Linked DNA regions of Tribolium castaneum. The protein of the gene in region 1 binds, or shares a complex with, the protein of each later gene. Links are inferred from orthologs where the notes say so. Each region holds a gene or a part of one and is shown in the gene's direction. Other genes may lie near its edges.

The links. Proteins that work in one complex are often made in the same cells at the same time.
Region 2: the proteins of TH1 (region 1) and NELF-B are in contact, whole or in part, in a crystal structure (PDB 8JJ6), measured with the Homo sapiens proteins. The link is inferred for Tribolium castaneum from reciprocal best matches to the Homo sapiens genes NELFCD and NELFB. Residues at the interface, in XP_047296144.1 of Homo sapiens: Arg63, Ile66, Met67, Glu68, Pro69, Ile71, Phe72, Leu75, Ile89, Gln90, Leu92, Ser93, Tyr96, Thr97, Ala98, Val99, Ala100, Gln101, Thr102, Val103, Asn104, Leu105, Leu106, Trp109, Leu110, Gln112, Thr113, Gly114, Val115, Gln121; in NP_056271.3 of Homo sapiens: Met49, Leu53, Leu56, Val58, Ala59, Asn60, Gly61, Leu64, Lys65, Leu68, Thr69, Leu75, Ile78, Glu79, Phe81, Gln82, Glu84, Asn85, Gly86, Val87, Leu88, Leu89, Ser91, Leu92, Ser94, Ala95, Leu96, Pro97, Phe98, Leu99.

The regions. Positions count from the first base shown.
Region 1 is NC_087394.1:30,827,904-30,834,971, reverse strand, and holds TH1 (negative elongation factor D), read left to right. Parts: upstream 1-2,526; 5' UTR 2,527-2,638; coding exon 2,639-2,695; intron 2,696-2,743; coding exon 2,744-3,184; intron 3,185-3,234; coding exon 3,235-3,384; intron 3,385-3,440; coding exon 3,441-3,571; intron 3,572-3,617; coding exon 3,618-3,805; intron 3,806-3,851; coding exon 3,852-4,104; intron 4,105-4,220; coding exon 4,221-4,431; intron 4,432-4,479; coding exon 4,480-4,620; intron 4,621-4,665; coding exon 4,666-4,795; intron 4,796-4,821; exon of another isoform or gene 4,822-4,842; coding exon 4,843-4,877; 3' UTR 4,878-4,935; downstream 4,936-7,068. Other genes in the region: Urm1 (ubiquitin-related modifier 1), read right to left, coding at 1,007-1,075, 1,125-1,173, 1,782-1,863, 2,068-2,138, 2,191-2,213; nop5 (nucleolar protein 58), read right to left, coding at 4,936-6,484, 6,537-6,613, 6,670-6,714. UniProt on the Homo sapiens protein: Essential component of the NELF complex, a complex that negatively regulates the elongation of transcription by RNA polymerase II.
Region 2 is NC_087394.1:30,667,931-30,675,176, reverse strand, and holds NELF-B (negative elongation factor B), read left to right. Parts: upstream 1-3,247; 5' UTR 3,248-3,417; coding exon 3,418-3,534; intron 3,535-3,590; coding exon 3,591-3,689; intron 3,690-5,070; coding exon 5,071-5,862; intron 5,863-5,876; exon of another isoform or gene 5,877-5,916; coding exon 5,917-6,324; exon of another isoform or gene 6,325-6,376; coding exon 6,377-6,724; 3' UTR 6,725-6,792; downstream 6,793-7,246. Other genes in the region: uncharacterized protein dikar, read right to left, coding at 1-407, 461-723, 924-1,110, 1,569-1,830, 1,878-2,507, 2,566-2,654, 2,725-2,752; pn (exopolyphosphatase PRUNE1), read right to left, coding at 6,798-7,246. UniProt on the Homo sapiens protein: Essential component of the NELF complex, a complex that negatively regulates the elongation of transcription by RNA polymerase II.

The DNA.
Region 1 (7,068 bases):
ACGGGTTTTTCGCATAATTCTCGATGGCTCATCGACTTTATGCTAATTTATCCAGACGTTGCGGGAAGTTATGCAAAGATCAGATATTCGAAATGGTTGGGACGACAATAATCCATAAGTAAAATCTACGGTAGAATCGTGAACAATGAGATAGTAAAGATTTCTTATTTCTGCTGACACTGCACTTAGATATTCAGAAAGTACCACAAAGGTAATAATATTACGTGCTCTCGGCTCTTACAATATCTGATCAGAGCGATAAATTTTAAATAAAATCATTATTTCCGAATATTGCGCTCCGCCGGTGAATAGAAAGAGGGTTAACACCACACCAACAAACTATTGTGTGATGCACTGTGTATCTTGTTATGTGATCTCTAGCGATAATTTACATATAAGGGCCACACTGGGTGTAAACTATCTGACCACATCGATTTACGAGCCTATTTACACGACGCCGCTGCTCCGATAATATTATGGAGAACTGTTAATGCCCTCACCAAAACCGCGACATAGACAACTGCTACTTTATTGTCACTCAACCAGTGGTGAATGCGGAGCGCCCAAGTAAAAGTCTACATTTTAAGCGTTTCCAAAAAAAAATTTTTCTGTTTCTAGCACAGTGTAAGCACAATAATAGTGAAATGTAAAAAAAATAGTTTCTTATTTTTTCAGTAATATATGCCTTTTCTTTAGTTTCTGGAAACTTCCTCAAGATCTTGCTTTGTCAGATTGTCATAGCATAACCAGCGGACAATAATTAAAAAAAAACTGCCCGAATTTGGCAAAAAATGCAGGTCAATACATATAATAATCTATCAATAGAAGAAAAATTCTCATTTCCTTTTAACCATGTTTTGACAAAGATAGAATTAATCGACCCAACTATCGTAAGTAAAAAAAACAAGAGGAGTCATTGGCCAAGGTGTCATGACAGTAAAGAGTGGAAGCAGAAAAACACATCATAAACAAATCTTTTATTTAAAAAAAAACAGATACAATAAAATTAACCCCCGTGTAATGTGGAAATAAACAATATCCTATCATTTTCCCGAATGACATAGTTAACAGTGTCCTAAAATGTAAATAAAGATAAAAATTTGTATTCCCTAACTGCAATTTACCATCAATTCCCAATCTGCGTCATTGATTAAGACGAGTATTCCAGGTCGCCTACAAAAAATAATAAAAGAGTGAGCGCATTTTTAAGCGCCGGAACGTAACAAGCTATACAAGAGCAACTAATCAACGCGGCGTGAGTAAATAGATGCTGAATCAATTACCTATGCGGATCATATTGCTGCATACATGCATCGAAACAAGGATAGTATTATAAAAATAGAGCAGATTTTGTAATTTCGTGGAAAAAAGGGAAATATGAAACTCGGAACAAATTCATTTGTCAACGATAGCAAAAAATGAAATACTGTATTCATCACATGGAGGGCTCAGAAGCCAATCTGTGTATTTATTTCACTTTTCGTCAAGTAACTTTTGTGGGACAGGAATCACTCATTGTTAACTTTTACAGAAGCGAGTCCTTCAATAACGATTCTGATTTTCACCTTTTTTTATAAAGTAAATTTTAAGAATGCTTATTATCCCATTTTTTTGCTAATTTGAGTTATACTGACTGGTTTCTGAATCCTGCATGTAAATAATTAAGAAAATTAAAAAAACACGTATTATTTAATCTTACTGCTCATAATTCACCAAAGAATAAAATACATTTTATAATTTAGTCTGAATTTAGCTAAAATAAATTTAGTAGGTATACTTACACAGACTCATCTTGCAAAAACAGTTCTGGTCGCTCTTTCAATAAATTATCTTTAATCCAAATAAGTAAATCCTTAATTATCCCTGCAATATAAGTTAAGCATATTAAGCAGTTAGCATAATAGCAATAAAGTATAAAAGATATCCACAAATGTGTTTCATTTCTTTAAAATAAGCTAATCAAATCAGGTGTAGTAAAAATTGATAAAATGATAAATAAAAGACTATTTGCGATAAATGCTTTGATTAAAAGTCAGTAAAAAAGTGAATTATCCTTATTATCCTTACATTCCTTGTCTTTTTCAGGTAATGTTACATCGTGACTCTTTTTGTTATCAAAAAGCAATTCAGCACCACCCCTGAAATATTAAATTATACTACAGTTTTAGCAAAAAATTAAACAATTCTCACCCAAATTGCACCGTTATGTGCATTTCGGTTTATATTACTAAAAAAATAATTACAAAAAATTACAATTTGATTCTCATAACCTTTAATTTCATAACATGTCAAGTTCTGTCAACCATGTTAGCCAATCCAGTTTATAAAATTCCCAAACAATATTGTACTGTTTTATTAATTTATTATTTGGTGAATAAAGTCAACTAATTCAATTTTGGACCTTTGAATGTGTCCCGGATTTAATAAAATTGTACCATGAAATTCTAGTTACGGAAAATTTGGGAATTGCTTTATAATTTTCAAATCTTTGTGGGTCAAAGCCGCCAACGTACACTTCGCGAAATAACTACTAGTTGGTAGTAACGTCAAATTTCGAAGGTTATGTTATGTTTAAGGACGCGACTTTTTTATTGTTTTAATTTATATAACTGCCCCAGTTATATGTAATTAACTTGCAATGGATGAAGAATACGACGAGAGAAATTGGGATACCGTTGATCGACTCGATAATGACGTGAGCATTTATTGAAATCTTGAATCTTTCAACAACTCGTATTTTTAGTCAGATGCGGGCGATGAAACGGAAAACCCTGAGCAGGTCCTTAAGGAATGCGCGGAGAAATTTTCGACCTCAGACTACATAATGGAACCGGGAATTTTCTCCCAGCTGAAACGGTATTTCCAGTCTGGAGGAAACCCCTTGCAAGTGATTGAAGAATTATCACAGAACTACACCGCCGTAGCCCAGATGGCTAACTTGATAGCAGAATGGCTAATCACAGGTGGAGTCAATGTAACTTCGGTTCAAGCAATGGTGGAGAACCACTTAAAAGAGATGATTTTGAAAACATTTGATCCCAAAAAAGCTGACACGATTTTCACAGAAGAGGGTGAGACGCCAGCTTGGCTGACACAGCTAATTGAACATCCCACGTGGCGGTCACTGATTTATAGATTAGCTGAGGAGTATCCAGACTGCTTAATGTTAAATTTCACAATTAAGGTTCGTAAAAATTGCCTTAAGTGTAACATGAGTAAATGTGGTAATTGCAGCTTATTTCCGACGCCGGTTTCCAAGCTGAAATCACAAGCATTTCAACGGCAGCTCAACAGTTGGAAGTCTTCTCTAGAGTACTCAAAACTTCAATTGCTAGTTTTTTGACCAATCCAGAAGACTGGCAAAATACCAGCAAGGAGTGTGCAGTAAATTATGCAATTTAACACTTGAATTCACTAAGAAAAAAAATCTATTTTTCTAGAAAATGGTGTGCCACGGCCAGCACACATACGTTTACAGTCAAGTGATTATCCACGTGTTAGCTCGAGAATCCAAGGGTGGCAGTAGCATGAAGCGACTGTCTCAAGAAATCACGAAATGCGCCCAAAAAAAGTATAATTTTTTCTAGTAAACACAAAAATTATTTATCCATTTTCAGTGGCCATGACGTAACTCCAATCACAATGGCGTTAAACGGCGCCTCTGCATACCCTCTGGCCTGCCAGGCCTTGACATCAATGCTTTCAAAAAATACACTTAATCCAGCCGACATTACAGTTCTGTACAGAAATTACAACGCTCCAGACCCTCCTCCCATTGATTTAATCAGAACTCCGCAATTTCTGGGTTTGTTTTTTAACGATTCTGAATATATGGTAATTCACAATTTCAGAATTATTGATTGATGCCTTGTTTAAACCTGGAGTAAAACTCAACCCCGACCACAAGCCCAAATATATCCATTTGTTAGCTTATGCAGCAAGTGTCTATGAAATGCAAGCCAAAAAAGGGCAAAAAAGAGTGGTCAATAAAGATGAACTTCAAGCGACTATTCATTCAATTGAAACGGTCCACAATATTTGTAATACCAATAAAGGGAGTTCAGAGCTAATGGCAGAACTTGCAACGCTGTATCAGTGTCTCAGGTAAGTTTCTAAGATGATATTTTAATAAAAACTGAATAAATTTTGTAAATAAAATGTCGGTAAATCACCATTATCAAAAACATTGTCAACTAAGAAACTTATATTTATTTTTTTAGGTATCCAGTCGTTTCTGTTGGAATTATCCGTTGGGTTGAGTGCACTGTTACCGAAGCAAGTTACTTTAAATTGTCAACAGAACACACTCCAATTCATTTGGCGCTCTTGGATGAAGTAGTTACTTGTCACCCTCTTCTCCATAATCAAGTACTCGACTTACTAATCAGGTTGTTTGAATCCAAGCAAGACGAACTGGAAATTTTAGTCCAAGTAAGTTATCAATTTTTTTACGATATTTTTCAGTTTTTTTTTTGTTAGCTTGAAATGCGCAAAATGGTCCTTGACAGAATGGTAAATTTGCTATGTGCTGGATGTGTGGTACCCGTTGTAAAGTACATAAAACAGTGTTGGCAAAAAGGCGACACGGACATATCCCTGATTCGTTACTTTGTAACGGAAGTAAGTTACTTTGTTAAAAATGACCGGAAAATGCAATTTTTGTAGGTTTTGGAGACCATCGGGCCCCCTTATAGCTCCGAATTCGTCCACTTATTTATGCCAATGGTTGAAAATGACGAAATTACGGGAACAATGAGAGGAGATGGGGAGAACGACCCCGTGTCTGAATTTATCGGTGAGTGGGAAAACGTGGTAAATCAATTTCTTATTGTTTGTTTTTAGTCTATTGCAAAGCAAATTACACCGCTGTTGTATAACAGCACCTTAATAATAAGAATGTCTATTATTGTAAAAAATAAAAAACCTTCCGCTAAATTATTCATCTTCCTTGGAAATGCTCTTCTTCTTCTTTTTCTTTTTTCCACTTGTTGGCTCTTCAACAACTTCAGGCGGAGCTTCGCTCTCGGACTTCTTCTTCTTCTTTTTCTTCCCAGGCGTCACCTCAGGTTCTTCCTTAACTTCCGCTTCCACCTCTTCCTCCGCTTCCTCTTTCGCCTTCTTCTTCTTCTTTTTCTTCTTCTGGCCCTCACCACTGTCCTCATCCTCCTCCTTGATACTGTCATTGGTCTCATCCGTCTTGACCTTTTTCTTCTTCTGCTTGGGAGTCTCCTGAGTCGTGTTCAACTCCTCCTTCACTTGCTCCGACTCTGACCTCTTCCTCTTCGAAGTCGAAGGTAACGTCGAGTCGGCAGCAGCAGGATACTGCTGAACTTCCGAAACCCCTTGATATTTCTCAAACTTGGCCTTGGCTTTCGCCGTCCCGCTAATTCTCCTCAAATTCCCCTCTTCCAAAATTCTAAGACGTGCTTCCAACTTGGCTTTGTGCTCCGCCCCAAGCGTGAAATTCCCGTCTTCGCCTAGAGCATCGACTCGAGTTGCGAGGGCTGCTTTAGCCGCCAACATTCGAGACATTTTCCCCTTGTTTTTGGTGCTACTTTGCCCCACTAACTGGGCGTGGTAGATCAACCCGTACTTCGGGGTGTCTTTCTTGGTCTTGAGGGCTCGGAATAGCGCCTTCTCAGCCCCCAAAATCTGCACCGTGGAGGCCGGATGTTTGGCCAAGTTTATCAAAGACCCAGCGTGCGAAATCAAACGAGCGCCCACCAAATCCCCAACCAACGTTGTCAGGTTTGGGGCCATCGCCATCATACGGGCCTTCAAATAGTCGTACAACTGGGTGCGATAATTGGAAATTTCTACAACTTGGTCGCACAAGTTCTGAATGTTTAAAATATCGTCGTCGGATATCTCAGTACCCATTGATATTTCAGCTGCCTCCTTGACTTTCTCCTCAATTTCTTCGGGGAGAATGTCGGAGAGGTCAGAACTGGCGGTGTTATCACGCGTTCCGATGATTTTAACAGTTTTGACGAACGCAACGTTATCAGTGATTATTTTCCCAAGCTCGGGAAAGTGCCAACCGTACCATTCGCGGCACCTCATTATGTAGTTGTTGAGTTCTTTATCGAGGTCATCAAGCAACGAAACCGCTTGGACTATCATTGTATCAATTTTATCAGGCGAGAATTTTAACTTGTACCGTGATAAGGAATGAGCTAAACCTAACGCCATCGCGGTCATTTCCTTCTTAGGTAACCCCGTTATCAAACTGTCCAATTGCGACCGAATGCACCGCATCAGCTCCTGGACAGCTGTATTCGAAACGCATTGTAAATTGAACTTCTCTTTAATGGCAGACCCTAACTTGGCGTCGGCCACAAGCAGCTTGTCCTGCAATTCTTGGTCGATGTGCTTCTTCAGCACCTTCTTCAAGCTTTTCGAGACTTTGCCCTCGACGGCTGCAGTCGTGGCAGCCAGGGCTTCAGTGGTATCATTGAACTTCTCGAAATGTTTCAGCTTCACACTAAAACAATTTTACTAATAAGTTTGCATTTTGAAACTAGGACAGGTCGTACATTTTTCCTGCCGACTCGGGTGAATCAAATTCATGGTACAAATTGTTAACTTCTTTTAATTTGCTTTCATCCAGAAGCTGAAAGCATGGAAAATTTGAGGTTAAGTTTGTCAACAACTTTACTGCAGAATTACCTTAAACAGCGCGTAACCTGCCGCTGTCTCAAATAAGACCAACATTTTTCACTTTGTATTACAACAATTTATATGAAAACCCACCAATTTTTAATATTAACGATAAAAACCGGCAACAATTAGAAACCATGAGGTCTAGCGCGTCGGCGAGATTGTCGACTCGCACGAATTCCCCAAGAATTACCAACTCTTGGTTCTTTCCCCCACGTGCCTTTCCAATGTAAATCTAAATAAAGCAGATTTAAGATTATTTGACACCAGTTTACAAAAACCCAAGTTCTTTTTAGTATGTGTGGGAGTTGTAATTAGTAACTGGCGTTAACTGGTTACTTGTAAAAAAGTTTCAGTTTCACCTACATTCGGTTAAGTCGATCTTAACAACAGGTCGAATTCGGGTGC
Region 2 (7,246 bases), about 160 kb from region 1:
CTCTTTCTTGTGTTTACTATTAGAATTCTTCTTATCTCGTGTGTTTTTCTTAGTGTCGTTTTTATCCTTTTTAGCTACTTTATTTGTTTTCTTAGTGTTTTTGTCTTTTTTATTCGACGATATCTTTTCATCTTCCTCAATAAGCGAATCACAGGAAAGACTCCTTTTACCTAGAGATTCTTCAGAGGGCGAATGCTCCCTCTTTTTATCTGTTTTAGCTGCAAGAGTCGGTTTACGCTTTGATGATTTAGATTCTGGTTTGTTGTTCTTTTTGGTATCTTTTGCGTCCAGATCAGTATTAGGGAATTCAACGGCGATTTCGTCGTCGGATGATGAGATTTGGTCCAAAAATTTCTCAGTTGCTCTTTCAAATACTTTCAACAAATTATCGACCATTTCCGTATATTCTGAAATATGTAACAAGTTAACTAAACTGATAAATTATTGATTATTTTTTTACCATTTTCAACACCGTTATAAAGTCGACAATTGTCCACGATTAACTGGAAATCGTCTCTGAATTTTGCAAAGTTCTTGTAATAACCTGCATCCAGCCTCTCTTCCATTCTTTGCAAATCCATTGGTTTCCGAATAACTGTGTAATAATTGGGTGCGTAATCCTCATCAACAGGATCGGCAAAGGGCCATGCGTCTTCATGATTTTTTACGTAATCTAAGATCTTGTGCATTCCTGTTATTAGATCTTCGTCGGTTTGACGAAACCTAAAATTTGCACTTTACTCCAAAACCGCACATCTTTCTGATAAGAAATTACCATAAAATTACAGGGATTGAAAGGAGCAGGGACATGCATGGAAGAAAACTTTCACAAACCCAAATTTATCTAAAATTTCCACTTATTTGGTAAATTTTAGGTCAACAGGAACTTTGAATAATATGTGCAATGGGAAAAAACAACTTACACTTGAGAAGTTTTTAGTTTTTTCTTGTGTGAGTTGGTAACAGGTTGGATAACAATTTGTCCAGTAGCTGCCGCCAGCGAATTGTTGGTTTGTCGACCAACTGTTGTAGTTGCGGAAGAAGTCGAGGATTTTGAAGTCTCCTCACCTGTTTTCTTCCTTTTTGAGCTCTTCGGCGCAGATGATGCATCTAACAAGTGGTTATAATTAATTATATTTACTGTTCTAATTATCATATTTCAGAATATTCTGATAGGTTATCTGTGTGACTAATGAATCAAAATACCTGAAATATTCTCGGAGATAAGCAATAAAACGCAAATTAAAACAAGACTATAATTTGTAAATTTCCTGGTCTCCTGTTTTAACTAATCATGGGATCATATAGTGTTATTTATAAATACGAATAGTAGTAAGAAATTCATAAATCGGACCATTTTTATTCGAAAAGGTAGATTTTTAAATAAAAGAATATTAGATACATCAATCAATTGTTTAATTAATATTCTTGCGTTTTTTTAAGTTTCAAGGTAAGTTTGTTTTCTTGGTAATTCATTATTTTTAGCTTATAAATAAAGTTTTAATAAAAAAGTCTTAGCTATAGCACCTTGTACATCTCAAGGTTACAATTGATAATTTCGTATTTACCTTTACTGTTAGAGGAACTTGTTGACAATTTTCTTTGTCTTCCTTTGGACTTCTTTTGTCGCGTTTTAGTCCCGCCCATCTCATACCGTACTTCAGAGTCCTCACTTTGGCTATCTTCGCTCTGCTCTTTAAGTCTGTTACTTCTCTCATAAGCTTCTTTTCTCTTGATTTCCAAATCGCGCTTTCTTTGTCTTTCTTCCTCTTCAAGAGGATTGGTTTTCGGCGATTCACACGTTACTTCTTCTTTTTCAGTTGTATTTTCCTGTAATAATCTCTTGTAAAAAAATTAAATAATTAACTTCTTACTACTTTTCTCAAACGTCGAGAAGTGCGTCTCGGTTGATTTTCCAGCAGACGCTTCCTGGCCAGTCTTTCCTTTTCCCGGAACAATCTGGGCAATTCAGGCAAGAAGTTCTCACTTAAAGTACGATGTAACTCTCTTTCACACTTAGCAGTCGATTTTTTAAATTTCTTGTTAAGTTGAAACCAATCGTCTTCAGTGAAACAAATAACCTGCCACACGGATTTCTTCTTATTATTCTTGGTTTTAAAGTCCTCTCTGTACAGTCTAGTACCGTAAAAATACCAGTAAGCAGATTCGTTACTGTCATAACCCAGGGGCTCAACCCTCAAGCTGTCTGCTTCTAAATTTTTCAGCTGGTCAAGCACATCATCAGCATCTAAACGAAAATCACAGAGTGCATGTAAAATGTCCACTTTTGTTCTCAAAGGTAACAATTGGAAATCAACGTCTGTGTTAAATGGGTTGTATTGATCATGTTCCTGACATTTCTGGCGAAAGAGACGTCTCAGGAACATCTGATAATTGAACGTTGAGATTTCATTGTTCGGCAAGCACCCACTGAGAAGCCTCACGATCAGTTCTTGAAGCCAAGAGGTTTCCTCCGTCCCATCAGTCAAGAGAGCCTCCTCCAAATCCTAGATCAAAGCAAAACGAATCAAAACCCGAACGCAGGAATTGTTTGCGTGGTTTTACCTCGATATCAAAATCCAAAAGGTTAAATGCTGTTCGAAACAATGAACAAAAATGTGCAATGCTTGGAACCTCCCACCATGATTGAATATCTGAAACAACGGCCAGAATTAGGGAAAACAGCACTTGAGAAGCCAAATCGGCGAATTTCCGTAAACACACCTAGGATGCTAATGAAAGTTGGAAACATAACCTATACGGTGATCAATACATGTAACGTTGTTAATTCACATTAATCTCGACGAAACTCCCCAAAAAGCCATGAATTAACGAATTTACGACTCGAACGGCGGATAACCAGCCACATTTAGCGCACTATAGGCCTTTGGGTGTCAAAAAGAATGCCATTTCTTCAACAAGCTTTGATAGGCTTCCCCCAAATCTGCGTACTAGTGCAACCTAGCGTCTATTTCTACGTCACTTAACGTCGTCACACTCGGCGTAATTTACCGCAAAATCACCGTAATTCCGCCAATTGCCCGATATTACACAATGTAAACATGCTCCTAACGCATCGCCGAAAATTCCTGACAACTGTCAGAGTCACTTTGAAAATTCGCCTTTTGAAAAACCGGAAGTTATTAGAATAGTGCTGCTTTTACCGCTTCTTATTGTATTTGACGTCGACCAATCACAGCGCAGCATTTTAAATAGGTGAAAGACCTTTGTTTTGTTTGACGCTTTTGACAGCAAATGGTGTGTTTTTTGACAATATATTTTCATAATGGGTTATGAAAGCTGTGTGTTTATATTTATTGAGATGTGTAATTGTAATCTCTGTGATACTAACACCGAATTTAAGTGATAAACTGCGTCGATTTGATGTTTTACTAGTGTAAGGATTCGTACTGCAAAATGTCTTCATCCAGAAACGATTTCCCTTTGGAAGCCCTCAATATACACGGGCCCACCTTCCTCAAACATGCCTTAACTAGTTGCACTGATCCGCTCAAAGCCATTGAAGAGTTTCAGGTACTTTTTGTCATGATTTTATCCATAGATTTGTAAATAAATTCGCTTTCTTATAGGTTACAAACGGGATACTTTTACCCTCATTACGCCCAATGCTTCCATTACTTGATCTACACGGGGTGAGAAGACTGGATTTTCACATGTCAGTTGTAGAGGTAAAGTATTCTCATTAAATATTAATCCCCTCATTAGTGGCAATGTCTGATGGGTTGGACTTTAAAGTTCACTAGAACTGGCATCAATATATTTGATTTTAAACAAACCATACACAGTAATAATGTTCAATAAGTTTCGTCAGTGAAGGGGAAGGCGTATACCTACCCAAAAATAACAAATAAAGAAAATTAAAACTAAACTATGTTACGGTCAATGTGTAAACTTGGCTAATTTGTACACTAGCTGGTTAGTTTGCAAACTAATAGAAAACCCAGTTTCAACTAAAATAGCTAGATAGTTTATAAACTATCCGATTTTTCTTAGTCATTTTTCTATTGTCTATGTATTTATTTTTTTAATAAAAACCACAGATTCAGTTGTTACGCCTGGCTCATATTTTTTAAGAAATCTTTACAAAACAGGGATTTTTCGAGGGATCATTATACCCCACTCTTTCCTAGTTTTCCTTATTTTTAGCATTAAAATCTGGCTCACATTTTAAAAAGGACATAAAAAATAGGGTATTTTTCATAAAAAATCGACGTTTTAATAGCTAAAGTGGGCTTAAAAACAAGTTATTTTTCCATTTTTGTGTTAAAACGACCTCAATGGGTTGATTTTCAAACTCAACAAATTTCAACGACTAAAACCTGAAAATAATCGTCTCATTTTCCTAAAAATTGATGTTTCAGGAAAATCTGAGTTAGAAAAAAGGGTAAAAGTCAAATTCAACGTTGTTTTTAATGTTTTCATAATAATAATTATGAAATTTAAATTAAATGTTGTTTTGAATGTGATTATTACTCGAGTACATCCCGAAAATCAGATGGTATTTAATGTATCATGGTTTTACTTAATAAGAATTATAAAACTGTTTATAATTGCTTTTATGGTGCAAACTGTATGAAAATGCGCTCAGGAGTTGGTCGATAATGTGACTCATTTTTGGTTGGTGTCTTGTTTCGTTCATTACTCCATAATTTACAACTGGATTTATTGATTTTCAATTAAAATGTATTAACACCGTATTTCCTTATTCAATTGTTGTGATTTTTTTCTGATTGCAGTAATTGTACTTTTTTTAAAAACATTTTATTGTTTTTGGCTTTAAACCGCATTGTTACGAACAAAAGTTTTGTAATAAAACGCAATGTTGGTTTACATTCTATTAGATACATAAATAAACGTGTAATCTCACAAAACCAACTTTGGTAGTAAAACGTCAAAACATAAAGTGTTTTATGTGCCCTCATTCAGGTCCAGCGAGATAAGTTTGCCATTCATGTAGACATAAATTCCATTAGTAAAAAATTCCCGAATAAAGTTCCCAACTCGCTGTATTTATTTCCCTTTAATGAAAAAATTACGATGTTGGTTCAGGAACTCCGAGAGAAACTAATCGCACACATCAATGAAATCGGCAAGCAAGAAGGACGCGAAAGGGACAGGAAGCTGAAAGATTTACTCGTAAAGAGTTTCCCTGTGGTCAAAGTGAAGGCTTTAAGGCCGATAGTGATGGCGATTTTGAAAAACACACCACAGATTGACGACAACTATTTGAAAATATTAGTTAGAGATCGGGAACTGTACAACGACACTGACACAGAAGTCAAACGGCAGATCTGGAAGGACAACCAGTCGCTCTTCGGAGATGAGGTCTCGCCTCTCTTGAGTCAGTACATCAGCGAAAAAGAGAACGTGCTGTTCGATCACACCAACATCAGCACCCAGTTCTTCGGGCCTTCCCCCAAGGTGCGGCGCCAAGGGGAAGTCGTCCAGAAGTTGGCACACATGATTGGAAACAGTGTTAAATTGTACGATATGGTGCTCCAGTTTCTTCGCACTTTGTTTTTGCGGACCCGAAACGTGCATTACTGCACTTTGAGGGCCGAATTATTAATGGCCTTACACGATTTGGAAGTTCAGGATATAATTTCGATAGATCCATGCCATAAATTTACGTGGTGCCTTGATGCCTGCATTAGGGAAAAAAATGTCGACATTAAACGCTCAAGGGAGTTGCAAGGGTTTTTGGATAACGTTAAGAGGGGCCAAGAGCAGGTGCTGGGCGATTTATCAATGACTTTATGCGACCCCTACGCCATTAATTTTTTGGCCACGTCGGCCATAAAAATCCTGCATCATCTCATATACGTAGAAGGGATGCCGAGGGTAAATAATGAGAATTTTCGAAACAAAATTATAATTTTTATACGAATATTTTAGGACAATACGATTTTAATTTTGCTCTTGCGAATGTTGGCTTTGGGTCTAAGTGCCTGGGTCATGATCGACTCCCAAGACTTCAAAGAGCCCAAACTGGACAGTCAGGTCGTTACGAAATTTTTGCCGGCCCTAATGTCGCTCATGGTCGACGACCAAGTGCGGCAATTGTCAGGCAAATTGCCCCCAGATGAACGCGAAGCTGCTATCACAGTTATCGAACATTCGGGGCCCTTGCCCGATGCAGTGGAGGCCTACATTCAAGACAGTTCAGTCGCCAGTATTCTCGCCATGTACTACACCCTGAACGTGGCCCGGCTTAAAGACAGGGTGGGGCTGCTGCGAGTCTTGACGGTTTTGGCGAACTGTAAAGACGACCGGGCTTTTGAGGACCCGTTCCTCCACTCTCTCGTACGTGTACACACATTTGTGTTAATTATTTGCAAAGTTGTGGTTTCCGCAGGTCATTTTCCTTATTCATAATCCGGAGGAGTTTCAAGCTGAGGATTTTTGTACTGTTCTCTTCGACGAATTCTTTTTTGCTGGGCTGACGAGGGAGAACGTGACAAGACATTTACTGAAATTGCTGTGGTATGTACATTCCCGACTGCCGGCTAGTCGTTTACACACGCTGATGAAAGCGCTGCAACCGACGCACCAACACAGCGAAAAGGTTCACAATTTGTACGAAACGCTTCAGACTAAGATTAATTCGCAAGAGGAGACTGCTGTACCTCTTGAAATGGATATTGACCTCAACTCGCCTCTAATGAGTGTGCCAACGCCTGCTCCGTATCACCATACGTTATGAAAACAGTGGTATTTTATAATTTTGTAGAGTGTTATTTATAATTTCGTTTATTAAAGACTAACAATGCATTTTCCTATTTTTGGCATTGTACAGCTGCATCGTTTACCAGAGGCAGAATAAATTTACGTGTCAATTTAATATTGCCCTGTCCGAAACACACAATATTCTTACTTTTTACAGAAGTCTCGGTGAGTCGTAAGTCATGTTTACTGTCATTCAAAATCGAGATTAACGTTTTTTTAAACGTGGAATCGGTAGAAAAAACCGCAATGTCTCTTTTAACGTCGCCACTAGCGTCAATCCCAATTAAAACAACACTGGATGTTTTGAATTCACTCGCGAACGCTGCAATAGCGCTATCTGCATCCTCACGACTTAAATATTGCTCAACCAACATTGGTAAACCCGGGATTGGGACACCCTTAACCACTTTTAGGTCTCGGTAGAGTAAATCTTGGCTAGTCAGACTAGACGTATCGTTGTGGATTTTCCACAACACGTTGAACAATTCTTTCCTGGTTT